Linked DNA regions of Drosophila melanogaster. The protein of the gene in region 1 interacts with the protein of each later gene in a pairwise test. Each region holds a gene or a part of one and is shown on either strand. Other genes may lie near its edges.

The links. The genes of interacting proteins can lie anywhere in the genome.
Region 2: the proteins of CG9568 (region 1) and FoxL1 interact in a two-hybrid assay, tested with the Drosophila melanogaster proteins (one large-scale study listed by BioGRID).

Annotation. Positions count from the first base shown.
Region 1 is NT_033779.5:9,008,443-9,011,878, reverse strand, and holds CG9568 (uncharacterized protein), read right to left. Parts: upstream 1,297-3,436; 5' UTR 1,220-1,296; coding exon 1,162-1,219; intron 1,101-1,161; coding exon 915-1,100; intron 844-914; coding exon 635-843; 3' UTR 521-634; downstream 1-520.
Region 2 is NT_037436.4:4,017,111-4,020,870, reverse strand, and holds the start of FoxL1 (forkhead box L1), read right to left. Parts: upstream 1,994-3,760; 5' UTR 1,778-1,993; coding exon 1,407-1,777; intron 475-1,406; coding exon 219-474; intron 163-218; coding exon 1-162. UniProt on the Drosophila melanogaster protein: Transcription factor. Coordinates the placement and migration of various organs during embryogenesis, including the salivary glands, hemocytes, germ cells and Malpighian tubules.

The DNA of each region.
Region 1 (3,436 bases):
ACATATATATATTTAAGCGTAAATTCTTTTTAATTTTATTTGTAAAATTCGTGGGCCTAGCCCACTGTTTCAAATATTAGTCACAACCTGGTAATCTAACACCTGAGCGGCTTTAATAAAGAGCTCTTATCTTAGTCCCCACCAAATCTATATGCAATAAATGATAAGTCTGTTGCGTAGAATTGGTAGCAATTGGGAAGGGGAACTTTTTACCTCATTAACTTGAAGAGTTGATTGGCAACTCTTCATGATTTATGGTCAAAGATTATTTACATTTTTATTTTCTAGAATATATGCAATGGTTACATTTTAGTCCATCTTAATTAGTTTTTTTCTTGTAGAAAAATGCTTTAATTTATAAATACGATTGTAATTGTGTTGATTAGTAAACTTTATAAGCTAATATATATTAATGCGTACCCATAAGACTCTTAAACAAACAGTCAGGATCTCCTAGGTGAACAAGATAGAAATGAAAATCAATATTGGATTTCCATGTAGAAAATTTTACGCATTTTTTATGATAAGATCCCATTGTTCGTTATCTTAAATGATTTTATTTTTAATTCAAATAAATATTGTACAATCAAAAGGTAGTTGAAATACTGTTTAGCTCCGTCGTCAGATTATAAGTTTAGCTTAGAACTTTGGCCAAAATCACGGCAATGGCGGATCCCACGATTGTATAGACACTGCTGCTGTAGGTTCCAGCTGGATTGCAGTAGTCGGTGCCGCATTGGAGGCACTTCTTGCTCCATCCACTCGCGGTGTTGTTCAGGGAAAGATTGCAGACATTCGTTTCGTTGAAGACGCAGCCCAGGAACTCAAAGGTGTGAGTGTAGTCTGAAAAGGGATGCAAAACAAGTTAGGATGTCTTCTTTCAAAAGCGTAAATCAGAAAAAAAAAAAACATACTTGCTGCATGATAGTAAGTGAGATTGGCACACGAAAAACTCAGACTGCCATTAACGGTGGGCACATTACTATGGTATCCTTCCAGAAATTCCTTATTGGCATTGGCCGTCGAATTGGAGCAGGTTTCGGAGGAAGGACTTTTGCATCCAGACGGCGATGTGCACTTGGAGCAGGTCAGTGAGTTGGCTAATATATAAAAATATTCCATTAGCAAAGATTCAACTTTGTGATCACTTTTTCTTCTCACCAAACGGCACAACCACAAAGGCCACAAGCACCACACAGAAAATTATTTTCTTCCACATTTCGATAGGTTAATATTATTCCTAATAATTATAAGCGCAACTCTTCGTAAGGCTACCTCAAGCGAAACTGAATCAAGTGTAGCCGATAGCTGCTCAATTTGTAGTCCAACATTTTACCTCAATAAAAGCGGCTTTTATGTCGGTTATAAAGATTAGATTATGTTATCACTAGGCCCGCAAACCCACTTTGAGTCAGGAATTGTTGACTAAAGCCAAATACGGGGATTTCTGCTGATGAAGTGCATTTTCAGGTCGGCGGATAACTGTTATCAAATAAATTCCAATGTGATAACTAAAGCCAAAATGGGAACAGAACTCTTCCCAAGTTTTATATGCTTTTCCGCATGAGTCTATGTAAAGTTAAATCATTATGCAAGTATTGCCAATTGATAGGTGACATACAATGGCTTATTTATACCAATGTCTAACATCCTGATTATTAGCTGATAATATTCCAATAAATGATACCCGCCATGTTTATAACATACGTTTTATATGTGAGACAAAACAAGGCTATAAAATACTATAATACTATATGTATGTGTCTCAGAATATATTTTTTAGTATTATTATTAGTTATTAAAAGTTAAGTTTGTTTATGTGAGGTAATGTCTGAAGTCGATATGAATTCATGACGATGAGTAATAAGCTTCAACCCAGATAAGAAACCCTAAACGTTCATCATAAATTAATTTGAAATAAAAACCGATTGTGAATGTAATATTAAAAGTTTCTACCTTATAAACAAAAAGTGATTCATTTGCATTGGGCTATGACAACAGGATGAAGTAAGAAATAAATAAAATGTTCAATTAGTTTAGAACCTAAGATTTAGTTAAAAGGAAGAAAGCACATAGCTTAGCCGCCAAGTAAACTCACGATAAGCCACAAAAAAATGATTCCATACTATTTTTTGTTGCTCAAGCCAAGGGATAATTTCAACAATACTAGAAAAGGACTCGCCGTAGGTGGAATTGAAAATCATACATCACAATCGTGGGCATTGCCCCGGACATGTCACGAATAGCTAAGCAGCTATAACAACAAGGATGCTAAGCCGCTGTCAAGGATGCGTAGGAGAATATAACAAATGACAGGACCAATGACTGACTTTGCATTGCATTGGGAGGGAGCACTCCAATTTGGCAAGAACGAAAGAAAAAAAAAAAAACAATGGATCGCCTGCGGTCGAGATTTAAAAAGTACGTGTATCCGAGTGTCCAAACAGGTAAACAACAGAATTACAATATGCTTTCTTAAAAATTAAAAAGGAAAAAAGTAGCAGACAAGAAGCAGCAGCGAGCTCTTTCCGACAGGACAATAAGCAAGGATAAGCATCGAAATGATGATGATGATGACGATGGCGGTGGTGCTAAGAGCTGGCAAGACAAATACAAGCACAAACATAGATACAGATACGCGACAGGCGACAACGATAGCAAAAGTCGAGGAGTCTGACAGATACATTTTAGTCCTGTTGCGGCTCCTGTTTGTCTACTTTTTCCGCTTTTTGTTCCTGCCCTTTTTGTCCTGGCCACATTTCCGCTTGCACATTTCACTCGTATTCCGGTCACGTATCCTTTTTAATCCTGACAAGAATATTATTTCCATAAAAAACATACATACACGCTCACTCACAGGAAGAGCGACTTGCGGCACCATCCCGGCAGATCAAGCATACGCCGCGTTGGCCACCACCTAACTAAGTCGTAGACATAGACAACCCGCAACGGCCCTAGAGCAGATGTATTTAATCTTTCGAATATATATATTGCCATACAACTCCAACCCTATAAACAAATTTAAATAAGTAGAAAGACGAATTCGTTAACACAAAAGATATACAACTTTTTGTTTTCAAAGAAAACATTTTCGAAGTTAATACATTTGTTAGTGGAATATAGCTTAAAATTTAAACATTAATTAGGTATAGGACAAATAACCAATATTATTATTTAAATATAGTCCTTAATTTACTATTCCTTATTATTCTCAATTGAAGAAAGGTTAAGGAGCACAACGAAACTCTTTTCTGTCCTCATTAATATGCAGTCTGTCATTGCGAATGCAAGGATTCAATAGGTTTTTTTATGCTTTCGACAATATTTGTTGTTCACATAACAAATTACAAAAGCTGCAAAATAATTTATAACAATCGATTGTTGTTGGACCATCTGGACACAGCCACACACACTCACTCGCCTTTGGACGGACTGG
Region 2 (3,760 bases), on another chromosome or scaffold:
GAACAGACTGTTGAAGCCCAGGGATACGGACAAGTACTGCCTGTGCAGATCCGTAATCCTGTCGGAGTAATTGGGCCGCTCGTTGCAGAAGATATCGAAGTCACTCAGCGGTTCGCTGGGCGAGCGAATCTCTGCTGCACTACTGTTGCCATCATTTGAATCCTGCAGATAAATTCATTTATTCGATTTGTTTATGAGTTTTTAGATGTGCATTATACCTTTCCCGATTCCCTCTCGTAGCGATTTGGATGGCCACAGTGCCTCTGCCTGCGCGTTCTCCTCCGGCGGTAGTTTCCCTGTTCGAACATGTCCGATGCCGATGAGTCCAGCATCCAGTAGCTTCCCTTCCCAGCACTGTCGTTATCCTCGATTGTGTTCTTGTCCCGCGGAATCTTCACGAAGCAGTCGTTGAGGGACAGATTGTGGCGAATGGAGTTCTGCCAGCCCTGCTTGTTCTCCCTGTAATATGGGAATCTAAAAAATAATTGGATATTATCCAATTAATTAATTAATTAGGAGCTATATTTCCTTGACATTTTTATCAAATTTTGAAAGGGTAAACATATATACTTTATTTTCAATAAATTAACAATGGAAAAGATATTTTATAAATATAAATCGAATGCGTGTTTATCAAAACTATTTACTTCAGAATTTCACAGCTTTGAATATCTGAATTTGTATATATAAAAATCATTTTACAATCTGAAAAACTTGCTGTTGATACACATCTTATTAGCCCATATCTATATCCTCCGCTGGTTTGTTTAAATCAAGCGATTTGAAAAAGCAATAAAAATAATATTTGTTTATGTTGATAAAGAAATCGGAAATATTTAGTTTACAAACACATTGTTCATTTTCCTGTTTTTCAAATTACTTGCGATCTATTTTATATATCTGGCCGCCATTTTTTATGCACTCTGTTCATTCAGGAAAGGAAATATATACATATATATTTTAATATTTGTTAAAGATATGACTAATAAATTTAAGCCAATAAATGAAACCATTTCATATGGATAATTACCAAGTAATCTGCGTGATATTTATATATTTTCACATTAAGAAATTGGATTAATGCTCCATATTTCACCGACTTAATCCCAGTTGTGGCAAAAGTTTCGTGATAAAAACTTCTTCTCGGGATAAAAACTTCTTTGGTTTGTACAGATACTTGGAATGTGGCGGTTGTTTATTTTGGCATTTGATTTAGCCAAGAATGTCATCTAAATTTTCCTCGATTTAAGACAAGGCGGAACATTTATTTTTGTAGGATTGTAAAAACAAGAGCTTTAGTAGAATATATGTACAGAAATTGGAAATTTTATTTGCTGATTTACAAACTAAATTCACTTATTGATCTATCAAAGATCTCGTATTTTTGTATTGTTCAATTAACTTACTTATCCATGATAAACTTGTAGATTCCACTGAGGGTCAGTCGCTGGTTGGGTGCACTGCTGATGGCCATGGCGATGAGGGCAATGTAGGAGAAAGGAGGCTTTTCCGGTCGATGGGAGTTGTGCAGAAAGGATATAGGCAATCCCCAGATGTTGTTGTGCAGGGCCAGAAAGCTATCGATGCCCTGGTAGTAGAAGGCCGGTGAAAACGATCCGCACATCAGACCCTCCATGCCCGCACCTCCGACGGCACTTGGAGCCAGCGGATTGGGTGACACCTGGGTCCTGAGATAATCCGGATTCGCTAGCATGGAGTTGACCAGCTCCTCATTATCCGGCAGCATCGATCCATTGGCATAGCAAGAGGGTAACATTTTTCAAAACGAAATCCCAGTAACTTGATTCAAAGTTCTTTTATACTCTTTATGTATCTTTCGGGAACTTTGTTTCGAATATCACTTCACATTAACTTGTTAGATATTTAGGATTTTTGTCCTGTTTTCCGGTTAGCTGTTACTTCCGATTTTGTGGGCGATTCGAGCGCGACTGTGGACCATGTGTTGCGTCAGCCAAGAAGTCCGATCGACTAATGAATGAACTCGGATACGCAGATCACTTGTAATGCCTCATCCCAATCTTATGGGTGTGTGTTTTTGGGGGAGAGCAGCGCATTGGTCTATAAATATAGGGATATGCAAACACCCTCACCAAAAGATCCACACATGCGTAAGTTCTCAGAGAGGGGAAAACAATTTTCCTTGAAAAATTTAAATTTTATTAAGGAAGAAATTGAATAAATTGAAATATGAAATAAGTATAATATATTTGAGATTATTATGTTATAATATAATAAGATGATGTTGTTAATATTTAAGTGTATTCAGTTATTAACTTTGTAGTACTAGATTTAGATTGATTATATCATTACTAATTAATATCCTTGCTTATACTATATCTTTTTCGCATATACCCGTTATATGGCAGATCTCTCTTTTGAGGGGGCGTTCCTACAAATATGTTCTCTACTCTTTCCATGTTTATTTATGTCCATTCTCATTTGCCTGTATTTTCCTCGATGGGCGGAGTCAAGACCTTTTCCCCATGTGTGAGTGAGTGTGGGAGAGTCCCAGTGTGTTTTGAATAATATGTAGATTTTGATTTTTCAACAAATGAAAATCGAGCAAAGTTTACACTTGAATTACGGGCACTTGAAAGGGAATTTTTAAATCTTTGGAAATAATGTAAAGCTTCTAGGATCTCATGCGTACATCGTTAGTCCCAGTTATTAAAAAAGATTATACTGCAGTATTATGATAGGTTACATATGTATGTATGTAATCATTGCGTGAGTTAGTCACTAATTTAGCCTTTTTCTGGCTTGAAAAAGTTCATTTAGATGTTTAATCATTTTATAACTTTCAAATCTCTTGATAGCACTCACTAAAGAGCTTTGATAACTCGTCAGTTCAATTGGTTTGTAAACATTATTTAAATAAAGCGATTCCAAGAAGCACTCCGTTTATACATTCCACCGGATAGCAGCTGGCAAGATAATGCCAGAAGTCGGCATTATCTGGTCCCTTGACATCCCATGCTATCTCGTGGCAGTTGCCTTCCGATTTTTACGACTTTTCCGAGCGAACGAAGGAAAGCGAGAGTAAACTCGCGGCAGTCAAGTACGCAATTTTCCGAATGCAACCGAAAGTCTTGGTCTATATCTTAAAAGGTCGTAAAACAATTGTGTATACATTTCAAACAGGACTACGCTCGATTTTTACGATCGTTCCGTTCTCAAGTAGAAAGCAGAGATCATTTGAAAGAAATAAAAACATTGAACGCAAATCGAAGAACTGAAAATCCAAAATGCCCGAAGCAATTGAAGTTCACATGTGTGGATGATGCCAATGCCACAAAGGATTCTTCACGCTCTCTCCCGATTTATTCAAATTTTACGATCGCTTACCGCTGGTGAGAATGGGTCATAAAACAATGGGTTATCCTATGGCCCATGGTCCTCCGATTCTCTCGAAGATGTCGCTGCCCTGCGTGTTTAGCTTGCTTATTTTTAGACCTATGCTGGGAATAGTATTGGAAACAAATATTGTTTTTTATGGCCCAGCTCGGTTTGGTCTGATTTCGTCTTCGAACACCGATCGATGTTTTTCGTTGTGAAACTATGTTTTCCTATGCATTTCACCGCATCTTTTTTGACATATCCCTCGCACTAAGCCATAAAACGCCTCGGATCCTGTTTATTTAGTCGCAGCGCAGCTCCCCAACCGCAACTTAATCGCTGTGTGTAATCGCGTAGTTATAGTTATAGTTTAGTGCGTGACTACCGGTGTTGTTGTTCACGT